Linked DNA regions of Xenopus tropicalis. Each later gene encodes a partner of the first gene's protein in a complex. Links are inferred from orthologs where the notes say so. Each region holds a gene or a part of one and is shown on either strand. Other genes may lie near its edges.

Evidence for each region.
Region 2: drc1 (region 1) and efcab2 share a complex: the UniProt entries of both Homo sapiens proteins name them as parts of the nexin-dynein regulatory complex. The link is inferred for Xenopus tropicalis from reciprocal best matches to the Homo sapiens genes DRC1 and DRC8.

What each region holds. Positions count from the first base shown.
Region 1 is NC_030681.2:159,571,050-159,578,764, reverse strand, and holds the start of drc1 (dynein regulatory complex protein 1), read right to left. Parts: upstream 4,865-7,715; 5' UTR 4,812-4,864; coding exon 4,762-4,811; intron 140-4,761; coding exon 1-139. UniProt on the Homo sapiens protein: Component of the nexin-dynein regulatory complex (N-DRC) a key regulator of ciliary/flagellar motility which maintains the alignment and integrity of the distal axoneme and regulates microtubule sliding in motile axonemes.
Region 2 is NC_030681.2:51,984,416-51,992,087, forward strand, and holds efcab2 (dynein regulatory complex protein 8), read right to left. Parts: upstream 5,108-7,672; 5' UTR 5,050-5,107; coding exon 5,025-5,049; intron 3,248-5,024; coding exon 3,163-3,247; intron 2,789-3,162; coding exon 2,716-2,788; intron 1,588-2,715; coding exon 1,508-1,587; intron 1,088-1,507; coding exon 1,045-1,087; intron 962-1,044; coding exon 895-961; intron 791-894; coding exon 675-790; 3' UTR 194-674; downstream 1-193. Other genes in the region: splicing factor YJU2, read left to right, coding at 5,230-5,253, 7,592-7,672. UniProt on the Homo sapiens protein: Component of the nexin-dynein regulatory complex (N-DRC), a key regulator of ciliary/flagellar motility which maintains the alignment and integrity of the distal axoneme and regulates microtubule sliding in motile axonemes.

The sequences.
Region 1 (7,715 bases):
CCTCTTGGCTTCAATTCGTGCTGCAATGCGCAGCCGCCTCGCTTCTATTCGCTCCTGGGGATCTTCTGCGTCCAATGAAGGGCCGGTGACTGCGCTCTCCTCGGTACCAGGCTCTTTCTCGTACAGGCTCATGGTGTCGCTGGAGGCGGGGCAAATAATAACAACACAGTAAATATAATGCTCTATGCAGAACTTCCTGCTCTGTTGGGCTTAGATTGTAAGCTCCTGCAGGGCCGGCATCAGGGGGGCACAGGGGGACAGTCATCCCGGGCCCGGGCGTTTTTAACTTTAAAGGGGGCCCAGCCGTGCTAGAGTTTTCTTAGCTTGGGCCCCCTTTAATCAACTCCGGGCCCAGTCATTGGTCGCGCCACGTGCGTACGTGTGACGTCAGGGAGCTGGGGTAGGGGAGCTGGATGATGCTTGGAGGGCCCTGGAGGAAGCAGGAGGTTGCTGGGGGGAGCTGGAGGATGCTTCGGAGGCCCTGGAGGAAGGAGGAGGTTGCTGGGGGGGGGGGAGCTGGAGGATGCTAGGGGGGGGCCCTGGAGGAAGCAGGAGGTTGCTGGGGGGAGCTGGAGGATGCTTGGGGGGCAATGGAGGAAGCAGGAGGTTGCTGAGGGGGAGCTGGTGGATGCTTGGGGGGCCCTGGAGGAAGAAGGAGGATGCTGGGGGGGCCCTGGAGGACGCAGAAGCATGCTGGGGGGAGCTAGAGGATGCTTGGGGGGCCCTGGAGGAAGCAGGAGGATGCTGGGGGGAGCTGGAGGATGCTTGGGGGGCCCTGGAGGAAGCAGGAGGATGCTGGGGGGAGCTGGATGATGCTTGGGGGGCCCTGGAGGAAGCAAGAGGATGCTGGGGGCCCTGGAGGAAGCAGGAGGATGATGGGGGGAAGCTGGAGGATGCTTGGGGGGCCCTGGAGGAAGCAGGAGGATGCTGGGGGGAGCTGGATGATGCTTGGGGGGGCCCTGGAGGAAGCAAGAGGATGCTGGGGGCCCTGGAGGAAGCAGGATGATGATGGGGGGAAGCTAGAGGATGCTTGGGGGGCCCTGGAGGAAGCTGGGGGGAGCTGGATGATGCTTGGGGGGCCCTGGAGGAAGCAAGAGGATGCTGGGGGCCCTGGAGGAAGCAGGAGGTTGCTGGGGGGGAGCTAGAGGATGCTTGGGGGGCCCTGGAGAATGCAGAAGGATGCTGGGGGGGAGCTGGAGGATGCTTGGGGGGCCCTGGAGGAAGCAGGAGGTTGCTGGGGGGGAGCTGGAGCATGCTTAGGGGGCCCTGGAGGAAGCAGGAGGATGCTGGGGGGGAGCCGGAAGACTTGGAAGACGCTGCGGTGGGGAGACGTGCCGGGGAGTTGAAGGATGTGGGAGGACGTGCGGGGGGGCAGAATGTGGGGGGGAGCTGAAGGATGTGGGAGGACGTGCGGGGGGGGAAGACATGGGGGGGAGCTGAAGGATGCAGGAGGACGTGGGGAGAGGAACTGGAGGATGCGGGAGGACGCGGGGTGGGAGCGGGAGGAAGTAAGGAAGCAGCGGAGAGCAGGCCATAGTATGAGGACATTGGGGGAGGACCACCAATGTTTTAGGGGGCCCTGGCTACCAACGTCTGTGTGTCCTTTGTATTAATGGGAGGGGTCACTGGGGCGTGGGAGGAGGGGGGGCACAGAAAATGTTGTTGTGAGGGGCCTTGTGATTTCTGATGGCGGCCCTGAGCTCCTATGAGCAAAGCCTCCTTATCCCTGGTGCAAATACAGGGCACCTACTGCTCTCTCCATCTCTCAGTGATACATCAGCTGCCCGGGCCTTATTAACCAGTCATTAACCAGTCATTAACCAGTCATTAACCAGTCCTACAGATACAATTCAGCCCCATAGGGATCAGCAGTGGGGGCTTCTCTTCCCCTCGTATTAATATGGCCCCCTTTACTGCTAATAGTACCAGGCACCTCCCCACTGGCCCTGCCTGGCACCCCGGTATTGCCCCGGTATTGCCCAGTCCCGGTATTGCCCAGTCCCGGTATTGCCCCGGTATTGCCCAGTCCCGGTATTGCCCCGGTATTGCCCAGTCCCGGTATTGCCCCGGTATTGCCCAGTCCCGGTATTGCCCCGGTATTGCCCAGTCCCGGTATTGCCCAGTCCCGGTATTGCCCCGGTATTGCCCAGTCCCGGTATTGCCCGGTATTGCCCAGTCCCGGTATTGCCCCGGTATTGCCCAGTCCCCGGTATTGGCCTGTCCTGTCCCCGGTATTGCCCAGTCCCGGTATGCCCAGTCCCGGCGGTATTGCCCCAGTCCCCGGTATTGCCCCGGTATTGCCCAGGTATTGCCCCGGTATTGCCCCGATTGCCCAGTCCCGGTATTGCCCCGGTATTGCCCAGTCCCGGTATTGCCCCAGTATTGCCCAGTCCCGGTATTGCCCCGGTATTGCCCCGGTATTGCCCCGGTATTGCCCAGTCCCGGTATTGCCCCGGTATTGCCCCGGTATTGCCCAGTCCCGGTATTGCCCCGGTATTGCCCAGTCCCGGTATTGCCCCGGTATTGCCCCGGTCCCGGTATTGCCCCGGTATTGCCCCGGTATTGCCTAGTCCCAGTATTGCCCAGTCCCGTATTGCCCCGGTATTGCCCCGGTATTGCCCCGGTATTGCCCAGCCCCGGATTGCCCCGGTATTGCCCAGTCCCGGTATTGCCCGGTATTGCCCGGTCCCGGTATTGCCCGGTATTGCCCCGGTATTGCCTAGTCCCGGTATTGCCCAGTCCCGGTATTGCCCCGGTATTGCCCCGTATTGCCCAGCCCCGGTATTGCCCAGTCCCGGTATTGCCCCGTATTGCCCCCGTCCCGGTATTGCCCCGGTATTGCCCCGGTATTGCCTAGTCCCGGTATTGCCCAGTCCCGGTATAGCCCCGGTATTGCCCCGGTATTGCCCAGCCCCGGTATTGCCCCGGTATTGCCCAGCCCCGGTATTGCCCCGGGTATTGCCCAGTCCCGGTATTGCCCCGGTATTGCCCAGCCCCGGTATTGCCCCGGTATTCCCCCGGTATTGCCCCGGTATTGCCCAGCCCGGTATTGCCCCGGTGTTGCCCCGGTATTGCCCAGTCCCGGTATTGCCCCGGTTGCCCCGGGTATTGCCCAGTCCCGGTATTGCCCCGGTATTGCCCCGGTATTGCCCAGCCCCGGTATTGCCCCGGTATTGCCCGGTATTGCCCCCCGGTATTGCCCCGGTATTGCCCGGTATTGCCCCGGTATTGCCCCCGGTATTGCCCCGTATTGTTGCCCCGGTATTGCCCCGGTATTGCCCCGGTATTGCCCAGCCCCGGTATTGCCCCGGTATTGCCCAGTCCCGGTATTGCCCCGGTATTGCCCCGGTATTGCCCGGTATTGCCCCGGTATTGCCCCGGTATTGCCCAGCCCCGGTATTGCCCCGGTATTGCCCAGCCCCGGTATTGCCCGGTATTGCCCAGCCCCGGTATTGCCCCGGTATTGCCCCGGTATTGGTATTGCCCCGTATTGCCCCGGTATTGCCCAGCCCCGGTATTGCCCCGGTATTGCCCAGCCCCGGTATTGCCCCGGTATTGCCCAGCCCCGGTATTGCCCGGTATTGCCCCGGTATTGCCCCGTATTGCCCAGCCCCGTATTGCCCCGGTATTGCCCAGCCCCGGTATTGCCCCGGTATTGCCCGGTATTGCCCAGTCCCGGTATTGCCCCGGTATTCCCCGGTATTGCCCCGGTATTGCCCCGGTATTGCCCAGTCCCGGTATGCCCCGGTATTGCCCAGCCCCGGTATTGCCCCGGTATTGCCCCGGTATTGCCCAGCCCCGGTATTGCCCCGGTATTCCCCCGGTATTGCCCCGTATTGCCCAGTCCCGGTATTGCCCGGTATTGCCCAGCCCCGGTATTGCCCGTATTGCCCAGCCCGGTATTGCCCCGTATTGCCCAGCCCCGGTATTGCCCCGGTATTGCCCCGGTATTGCCCAGCCCCGGTATTGCCCCGGTATTGCCCGGTATTGCCCAGCCCCGGTATTGCCCCGGTATTGCCCAGCCCCGGTATTCCCGTAGCCCCGGTATTGCCCGGTATTGCCCCCCGGTATTGCCCCGGTATTGCCCAGCCCCGGTATTGCCCCGGTATTGCCCCGGTATTGCCCAGCCCCGGTATTGCCCCGGTATTCCCCCGGTATTGCCCCGGTATTGCCCCGGTATTGCCCAGTCCCGGTATTGCCCCGGTATTGCCCAGCCCCGGTATTGCCCCGGTATTGCCCCGGTGTTGCCCCGGTGTTGCCCCGGTGTTGCCCCGGTGTTGCCCCGGTATTGCCCCGGTGTTGCCCCGGTATTGCCCCGCCCCGGTATTGCCCCGGTATTGCCCCGGTGTTGCCCCGGTATTGCCCCGGTGTTGCCCCGGTATTGCCCCGGTATTGCCCCGGTGTTGCCCCGGTATTGCCCCGGTATTGCCCCTGTATTGCCCCGGTATTGCCCCGGTGTTGCCCCGGTATTGCCCCGGTATTGCCCCGGTGTTGCCCCGGTATTGCCCCGGTATTGCCCCGGTGTTGCCCCGGTATTGCCCGGTGTTGCCCCGGTATTGCCCCGGTATTGCCCCGGTATTGCCCCGGTATTGCCCCGGTATTGCCCCGGTGTTGCCCCGGTATTGCCCCGGTGTTGCCCCGGTATTGCCCCGGTGTTGCCCCGGTATTGCCCAGCCCCGGTGTTGCCCCGGTATTGCCCAGCCCCGGTGTTGCCCCGGTATTGCCCCGGTGTTGCCCCGGTATTGCCCCGGTCCCAGTTACCTCAGCGGCTGATTCAGTGAGTCCTGTACGTCATGTGGCGCTGTTAGCATTTCCCGTTGCTAAGAGACACCGAATAACCCGTTCAACCAATGAAAACTAGGCTGCCCGCAAGGCTCGTCAGAACTCTCTGACCAATGGAAGCGTATTTTAGTTACGAAGCCCTTGTCAGATTGACGTCTCCATCCGCCTATGCGCGCTTGTATGTTGTGTCGGTAGGCGGGAGCTTATCACCGGTTGGTTAATAGGGTTGTAAAGCTGTGGGAGGGAGCAGTGTAGCGTAGCAACCAGGCAGTGATTCGGCTCCGGTTTATAAGAGATGCTGAGCGATAGATACGATTTCTGTGGTATTGAGAGAAAGGGGAAACAAACGCATTAGCCCCCCCTTATAGGGAAATACCCCCCATAACTGCATTGTTTGCCGAGTGAAAGAAATTCCCCTTCCCAATATCCAGTCACTGTGTCTGTCCCTTTCCCTTCCCTGCACTGCTGGTTCTGACTCCTGATACAACTCCCCAATATCCATTCATCCCTCATTCTCACTGGGTTTATAGTTATGTGTAACTGTCACTGTGTCTGTCCCTTTCCCTTCCCTGCACTGCTGGTTCTGACTCCTGATACAACTCCCCAATATCCATTCATCCCTCATTCTCACTGGGTTTATAGTTATGTGTAACTGTCACTGTGTCTGTCCCTCTCCCTTCCCTGCACTGCTGGTTCTGACTCCTGATACAACTCCCCAATATCCATTCATTCCTCATTCTCACTGGGTTTATAGTTATGTGTAACTGTCACTGTGTCTGTCCCTTTCCCTTCCCTGCACTGCTGGTTCTGACTCCTGATACAACTCCCCAATATCCATTCATCCCTCATTCTCACTGGGTTTATAGTTATGTGTAACTGTCACTGTGTCTGTCCCTTTCCCTTCCCTGCACTGCTGGTTCTGACTCCTGATACAACTCCCCAATATCCATTCATTCCTCATTCTCACTGGGTTTATAGTTATGTGTAACTGTCACTGTGTCTGTCCCTTTCCCTTCCCTGCACTGCTGGTTCTGACTCCTGATACAACTCCCCAATATCCATTCATCCCTCATTCTCACTGGGTTTATAGTTATGTGTAACTGTCACTGTGTCTGTCCCTTTCCCTTCCCTGCACTGCTGGTTCTGACTCCTGATACAACTCCCCAATATCCATTCATTCCTCATTCTCACTGGGTTTATAGTTATGTGTAACTGTCACTGTGTCTGTCCCTTTCCCTTCCCTGCACTGCTGGTTCTGACTCCTGATACAACTCCCCAATATCCATTCATCCCTCATTCTCACTGGGTTTATAGTTATGTGTAACTGTCACTGTGTCTGTCCCTCTCCCTTCCCTGCACTGCTGGTTGTGACTCCAGCTGATGTAGCTGGGGAGGGGCCTCATATTAAGTTCCCCTTTAATTAATACCAATCCAGCCTCTGTATCCAGGGAAGTGCCGATAACAATAAATCCAATTAAAGGAGCAGCCAGCAGGGGGCAGCGGCGGTAAATAAACCAAGAAGGAAGCGGAGTGGCCGACAGTATCAGGGTAAGGTGGCGACACCATAAGGTTCCCTCATTGGTCCTCAATCCGACAATTTGCAATTGGTCTTTATTTTTTGTGTTTTTTTCAATTATTCAGCTTTTTATTCAGCAGCTCTCCAGTTTGGAATTTCAGCAGCTATCTGGTTGCTAGGGTCTTGTTTACCTTAGCAACCATGCTGTGGATTGAACGGGAGACTGGAATATAATTAGGAGAGGAACTGAATATAAATACAAGGTATATAATGTAACAATAACAATAAAATTGTAAAGATCAGAACGAAAAAGTTTCCTGGTTGCTGGGGTCAGTGACCCCCATTTGAAAGCTGTACAGGAGCAAATCATTCAAATACTACAAACAAATAAATAATGGGGACCAATTGCAACGTTGCTAGGAATAGGTGAAAACCACAAATGTTCCTAGCTCTGGGCTTTAAAGGGGAAGTAATGCACGTAAACTTACTAAAAATCGTTTTAGACTGCTAATGCCAACTCAGCAGTTCCCTCTCCCAATCAGAGGGGCTTATTTATCAATGCTTAGCTATCTATCAATGCACCCACGGCGCCAATCGGATTTCCCATAGTGCTCTCTGTGGGTAAATGAGCCCCAGAGGGTTAACATAGTTGGTCACTGACACACGGACTTCTGAGAGAGAGCTTATTAGCAGTCTAAAACAGCAAATATCTCAGCAACCACTAAAAAGAGAAAATTAAAGGAACAGTAACACCCAGGGTCATACTGGGGGGTGAAGGGCTCACGGGGGTGAAGGGCTCACGGGGCTGCAACCCAGGGGCCCTGCAGGTGTCACCCAACCCCCCCCCAGGTATCCCCCCCCAATCCCCCCGCAGGTGTCTCCCCCTAACCCCCCCCCCCGCAGGTGTCTCCCCCTAACCCCCCCCCCCGCAGGTGTCTCCCCCTAACCCCCCCCCGCAGGTGTCTCCCCCTAACCCCCCCCGCAGGTGTCTCCCCCTAACCCCCCCCCCCCCCCCGCAGGTGTCTCCCCCTAACCCCCCCCCCCCGCAGGTGTCTCCCCCTAACCCCCCACCCGACGTCCGACCCCGAGCACTTAAATTTAACGCATCAGGGGAGGAGCGGTCGGGCAGGGGGAGCCACAAGAGTCGGGTCTGGGCCGCCGGGGCCCACCGGGATTTTTCCTGGTATCACGGCAGCCCAGTCCGACCCTGGTAACACCAAAAAAATGAGGTTACACAGCAGATAAGCTCTGTAGAATACAATGGTGTTTTATGTTATCTGCTAGGTAAACTGTGCCTTTTCTCCTTTGAATGGCTGCCCCTGTGGCTAGGAATCCAGTCCTTCGGTTGCTATAGAGAGGCAATAACAACGGAGCCGTTGGTATATACAGGTAGAAATTTAATGGGTACATGGGTCAG
Region 2 (7,672 bases), about 110 Mb from region 1:
GAGGCATAGTCCGTGTGTTTTCCCATGAGAGTATACCTTTTAAATATGCAAATATATATATATATATATATATATATATATATATATATGCAATGTATACATTTAGACATTATTAGCATGCACTTCAATAGCATGAAATGCATTGAAATGCTCTTGGGCACTTATATTTAACAAAAAATTGGCTAGAGTATCATCTGATAATCATTTGTTTTATTATAAACCTTATTTGTTAAAAACATTTATATTACAAAAAAATATTTATGTTTATGTCTATGTTCATTTTTTATATATGTGAATGCCTGTTCAGTGAACCACTGTCTCAAATATAACCTTCTAACTTGAAAAAATAGATACATGTTTCTGGTCCTGTTTTTGGTATTGATTGCCAAAGGCTCATTAGGGTGCACTATGTAAAGCTGGCCATACACGTGAAGATCTTTCAACCTTGAGGCCCTATATACAGGCAGATAAGCTGCTGAATTGGTCTAAAGGGGCCAATTTGGCAGCTTAGATCTGCCTGTGCATGGCCACTGAAAAAACTGGGCAGTCTGTGGGAATTCAAAGTCTTCAAGTGGGAATTTAAAGTCTTCAAGTCTAAAAAACACCACTTTATATATAATTGTACTATGTACGTGTTTTAAAATGCCTCCTGTTTTTTTTAAACTGACTTATTATCAATAATCATCAATGGTCATCATTGCAGCATACTCTCTGTATGGAACAACATTCTTCTCTGGATCCACTGCAGCTGACACCATCTCTTCCATCTCCTCTTGTGTGAATGGTTCACCTGAGACAATAAGACACACAGTCTGTGCAAGTGTTTCATGATTCAAAAATATTTATTTCTAGATTAGCACTGTCTCAAAATAAACACTTTGTGTATAACTGTACCTTCTTCAGTCATATATTTGACAAGTTCTTCTCTAGTGAGGTATCCCTTTTTCTTTTCATCTAAAACCTGGAAATTAGTAAATAGAGCTGATTAGCTCTGCCTGGTAACACTCTTTATTGCCTATTAAAACATAACAATAAAACACCAACCTCAAAGGCTCGGAGAAGAATATCTTCAGGAATGGGTCTATACCTGCAAACCACAAAGGAAAATTATAGAAAGACCTAAATTTGCATCATGTACAACAATTAAAAAACAAGTTTTTCTTTCTACATCTTAATCAGTTTGGCAGGTATCTTTATATAAATCAGCAGAAAAATAAACTCTAGAGAGGAGTGTAAAAACCATACACAGCAGCTCCTGTGGGGAGGGGGCCCAGGATTACAGTCCAGTGCAGTTCTAACTGAATCTAAAACATACAGTATGCATCCAACCATTCCCCCACATATATAATATATTCATCAGAGGATTGCACCCTTGTCATAACTGAAGTATTGTTTTGGGTCTGCAAATACGAAGACATTAGGCTAATGGCTGTGCCAAGACACCCTTTACCTAATGCCACCATAAAGCTGGTGTAAAGCACATGAAAGCACCTAATGAAATGTATACCTTCTCTCCATTAATGCCTTAGTCATCATGGGGAGGAATTTTTCAAAACGAATGTACCCTGTAGGTTCTTCTTCTTCTACCTAAAAGGCAAGGAATATAAATGTAAATAATAAACCATATTTGAAAAAAGAGATTAAGAAATGTAAAAATAATAAATCAATTTTATTTAAAAAAAATATTTCCTGTCATAATTACATTCCATGGGACAGCAAGGTTTATTGCGTTCAAAATCACAAAACACATGGCTATATTTTTAGCAAATAATGTGATGCAGAGTATTTAGTTAAGAAAAAACTTTACATTTAAAGGAGAAGGAAAGTCAGTTTGGCATTTTACTGCCAATAGATTCGCCACATTAGTGCCACCTAGAATGCTATATTTATTCTGCAGAAAGCATTACCATAACTGAGTAAAGAGCCCTAGAAGCTTTCTCTGTTTGTTTAAGACAGCAGCTGCCATTTTAGCTTGGTCTTCATAGCTTCCTGCTTGCAGTTTAGCCGCTATAGCTCAGATTACACATTCCTAAGGGTGGGGGGAGTCAGTTTCATGAATTCTTATGGGAGGGGAGAGCAGGAGAGAGGAGAGAACTGTGCAGACTCTGGCCCCTGGAATGAAGGATTTTTCTGAGAGAGGAAGTCATACACTCTTAGACCATGTTTACAAAAAAGGAGACAATAAATCATGTGTTTCTTTTGATGAGGACTCAGTGCAGTGTTTCTGTGAGTGCTTATGGCTGTATTAACATAGAGCTTTCTGATAAAGCTTACTTAGTTTTTACCTTTCCTTCTCCTTTAAATGTTAATGAAAACTGGTATATTTTGTATAGGATGCCTAATGTGTCTATATATTGATGTTCATTTATAGTTGCTCAGAGTTGCCATACTATTTTTTGTTTAGAAAATGTAACATTTTAGAAACAGACTTTAATAAAACAGTGCCCTCTATTGGCTGAACATGCTAACAAAGACTCGCAGAATTCTTGTTGCCTTTAACAGGCAAAAACTTTCTCAGCTACATCTTAAACGTGGGAGTTATTTTACACAGCAAGATAAGACATACAAAGGTTTTATCTCTTCTTAGGCAATAATAGGTCAGAATAAATATAAAAATATTTTTACTTTTACAGCTGCAATTTTTCAGTTTTTATTGATATGGGCACAATAAGTGCATATAGTTCTGTACTCTTTAACTTGTTTTTAAAACCTTACCTCTGCAATCATATCATGGAGTTCGCCTTCTGTTGGGCAACATTCTAAAGACCTTATGATTGTTCCAATCTCTCTGTTACAAAAGTAGCACAGTTAATGCATGAAACTTTAAAATAAAACAGGGTTAGGGTTAGCTTTTATATCCTGTTAATGTAAAAAAAATCTTAATTAGTCTAATAGCTTTAAAAAATAATAAATAAAATAAATAATGTGCATATTGTATACTTTTTTTAATGAGAACTCTTGACAAAGTAAGGTTTTGCTTGTTTAGTGTGTTGTTTTTTTTTACACAATACAAAGAAAATGATTACCAAAGCACACACACTTTTGAGATTGCATTAAATAATAAAAATGGCAGCTTTAGGAACTGAAAGCTTGTACAGCTGTCTTTCTCCTGTTTACCCAGCATTCTACAAAAAAAAACTACAGGGAAAATGTTATGTTTACCTGACATCAACAGTTTTGTTACATTCATGGTCAAAAACCTCAAAGGCTTCTGTAATTTTTTTCTGTAAATCTGTCACTAGAGATTCTGAAAAAATATGTGTAAGAAAATAATTAGATGCATTAATGGATTAGCAGGCATAGTGACATGCTTTACAGTTATACACTGTTTCCATTACTAATATGACTATTTGAGCTCCATCTGTGTGGAGAACCATCTGTCACCACTTCAAGTGCAACGGATCACCTCTTTAGCACACACAAAGATTTTGGCATGAAAATACATATATTTATATGTCACATGCCTGTCAGTGCACACACAGGTTCAGAAAGAGAATGGTGGTGCATTGCCTATTCTCAGATTGCGCTGAAACAGCCTTAGAACCAGGGCCGCCGCCAGGGAGGACAGTCCTGGGCCCGGTGGGTTTTGAGGTTTAAGGGGGGCCCGGCCGTGCTGCTGTGAGAGCTGCAGAATCGGGTAGCAAAGGACAGGAACCTGGGTGCCTGTATCTCCTTTACTGCTCATTTACCACAGAACTCTAAATCCTGGTAATTCTGCATGGGGATTGGATGGGTCCCTTCCAGCCCATTCAATCACCATGCACCTTTTCCGGGACTTAAACTTTATTGGCAAATGAGCTTACAGAAAGCTGTATGAGATAATAAGAAGCTGGCACTGGAGCGCTAGTCCTGTGTTCTGAAGGCTGCTGGTCACTGACTGCAGGGGGCCCTGGTAATCCAAGTGCAGCGTGGCCTGCGCTCCTATGACCATAAAAAACACCAGGACAACTATTTGCCCTCAAGGCTGCCCTGTACGGTGGTATTCTCTGTTGCTCATATACAGTATGTCTGTTCACACCATAACCTAAACGCTTGAATTAAGGAAATGGATTAATTGGCTTTGGCACTGACTATAATGGATAGAAAACAGAACATAAGCTACTAGCTTTTTTAACACACATTAAAAATGTAATTTGGTGCTTTTTTTTGCATTTATTACTTTTACAGTTTTCCTATATCTTGCACTGATCAGAATAACTTACTTCATTACAGCAACTTATAGTAGCTCATTGTCTCTTGCTTACATTTCAGGGTTTGTTTTTAGCCAACAGTATTGAGATGAGGTATAATAGTAATGGGTGCTAAATTCCAAAGTTTTGATTATAACTATCTTGCACAGAAGCCAATCCTAGTAACAGGGATGTGACTGGTGTGATCAGTACAATTTTAGGATATCCTTAGGTACACACCTACATACCTACACCTGCACGGCCCCCTTACGTTATCAGAGAATGGGAATTGCAGTACATTTTTTAAGGGGAAGTAAAGTGAAAAATCTAAGAGCCCTTATGGTGCCAGGTTCTTTATGAAAAAGACAATATTTTTTAATATAAATTTATTAAAAAAATCCATACAGGTTTTTTTTTTGTTTAACATAAATATAATCCCTTGCCTTTGATTCCCCCCCTTCACTTCACTAGGTCTGATGTACTGATCGAACAAAAGCTTAGATGCCCACTGGCTGGACAACAGATCCTGCTAATTGTGTTGTATGGGGCCTGTGAGTTCTGATGGCAGCCCTGCCTAGGATTATAGCACATTCTGCTGCCTGCAGTATATCAATACTAAAATTCTATTCCAAATTGTACCAATAGGTTAATTGATACTCTATCTAAAATGCACCCAGTATTTTAGTCACCCATAAAGATGAACAGGCGATTATTTGTAGAATGTACTTTACTCGTTTCTATTGATTTTCTAACAGGGTTCAGACCAAGTCTCTGTTAATTTCCCCTTCTCCTTCCCTCTCCTCGTCTCGCTATTTTTATCTGTTTTTTACATTTTGTTATGGAGCATTAACTTACCAGCGGCCTCCTTCTCATCAGTCATTTTTGTATCTGGTTGCTAGGTGACTGCACAACCCAAGTCATTTGACCACCTGGTGGCGCTGAGATGACGTGCGTGAATATAAAACACTTCCTAGCTGCTTGTTCCTGCGAGCGGCTGGAGCGTGACGTCATTGATCTGCGCCATTTGGAAAATACAGCTACAGAGGAGTGAAGAGTAACAATGTCTGAGCGGAAAGTCTTAAATGTACGTAATAGTAAGAAGGGACTTGGGGAAAGGGACAGGAGGCGCTTGGTTAAGGGATAGACCGGTTGAAGATATGTAAACAGCACTCACTAATAAAGACGTGGTGCGTCAGTAAAAACTCTGAGGATTGTGTTATAAAAGGTGCAAAATTCTGTACATGACTTGTTACCTAATGCAACCAATCAGCAAGTAGCATTTGCTGGTCACTTTTTTTTAACGCAAAATATGGCTTTCTTCACCCTGGCATACTTGTAACTTTTATTACGTATGAGGGATATTACATATGTTACATGTTATATAATTAATACTAAGAGAAGTTATCAAAGTAGTAAAGGCTGAAGTGAAGACAACTCTGCTGGGTCAGTAGTTCCAGCATTCCACTCTGTCAGCTTCAGGGGTAGGCTGCAAGGTCACCAGTATGAAATTCAATTATTATATTGTACATTTAAAGCAAGACAAATCTTGCTTCCTATGCCAGAAGCATCTTGTTTAAAAAGCTTGGTCATTCCACATACGTGCAGAGTTCAGCTAAAATGCATAACTATTATAATCATAATAAACGTTCTCTGGCAAAATCTGGCTAGTGTGCAGTAACAGGCGGATTACACATGGGGCAGCTAAATCAGCATGTCCCCTGTGTAGCAAAATGGTTTGTATGATATGGGCCTAGAGCTAACAGCGATGGCACTGGAAACTGGTTAACACAGAATATAGTCAGTTTATAGTGCGTACTACTAATATCAGTTGTCAGGGTCACGTTAAAAAACATGCTGAAGGTACTTTGATGTCTATGTTATGAAGATGTAAACTGTAATTAAAAGCCCAGCTTATGAATTCTTACATTTCTTGCTATATGTAATGACACCTATATATGTACAGATATATGAAGACACTGCTGTATCAGCCATGAGTATCCAGGAAATAAATTGTCACTTAACTGAGGAAGATCTAGGCCTTACCCTTAGATCTTAGGTCTTACACTAACTGGCTTGCAGACTTGGTCCCCCTAGCCACTTGGTCAGTTTAGGTACCACTGATATAGATGACACATAATAACATAGTAAGTTAGGTTGAAAAAGGACATATGGCCACCAAGTTAAACGTAATGCTTATATATAACTTGCATAACTGCTAGTTGATCCAGTGGAAGGCACAAAACCCCATCTGAAGCCTCTCTAATTTGCTGCAGAGGGGGAAAAATTCTTTCCTGACTCCAAGATGGCAATCGGACCAGTCCCTGGATCAACTTGTACTAAGAGCTATCTCCCATAACCCTGTATTCCCTCACTTGCTAAAAAGCCATCCAACCCCTTCTTGAAGATAACTAATGTATCAGCCAGTAGGAGTGGTTCAAGTATGGAATTCCACAACTTCACAGCTCTCACAGTAAAAAAATCCTTTCCGAATATTTAAACAGAACCTCCTTTCTTCTAAATGGAGTGGGTGCCCTTGTGTCAGTTAGAAGGACCTACTGGTAAATAAAGCTTTAGAGAGGTTATTATATGATCCCCTTATATATTTATACATAGTTATCATGTCACCTCTGTGCCTCATCTCCAGTGTAAACAGACCGAACTTTGCTAGTCTTTCTTCATAACTGAGACTTTCCATACGCTTAACAATCTAAGCTGCCCTTCTCTGGACCCTCTCTAATTCAATAATGCCCCGTTTGAGCACTGGAGACCAAAATTGAACAGCATATTCTAGATGGGGCCTTACCAGCGCTCTGTAAAGGGGAAGAATAACCCCCTCCTCCCGTGAAGCTATGCACCTTTTGATACAGCTCAAAACCTTGCAGCTGCTGCCTGGCATTGCTTGCTACAGCCAAGTTTATTATCTACAAAGACTCTGAGGTCCTTCTCCATTATGGACCGTTCGTGCATTTTTCTTTTACAAATAATAAATTTAAGTTTATACATATTTTCCAGTTAACTATTTTATAATAAGCTTTTAATCAAAGCGTTTGATTTTATTTCACTGAAATATATTGACATTTTTTTCTGGAAACATAGTACTAGTGGTCGATATATGCATGCAGTACATCAGCTGTATTTGAACGTACTTAATATTCCAAGGACTTACTTGTATGCTGTGTAAAGCATTTGCAGTCTTTGGCATTGTTTTTCCCCCAACGTCCACAATGTTTACCATAGGGAGGCTGTCAGAGCTCTGCATCCTTCCATATATGGTGATATCATATATATTTTTCAGGTTATCTTCTAAGGCAACCAATCATTCATTTATCGAGCCTATAAATTGTTTACTGTTATAAATAATTATAAATTATTTGCTCTTATTGTTATAAAATGATTTCATTTTAACTTTTTATCTGTTTTAGAAATATTACCCTCCAGATTTTGATCCATCTAAAATCCCAAAGTTAAAGCTTCCAAAAGATCGCCAGTATGTGGTTCGTCTG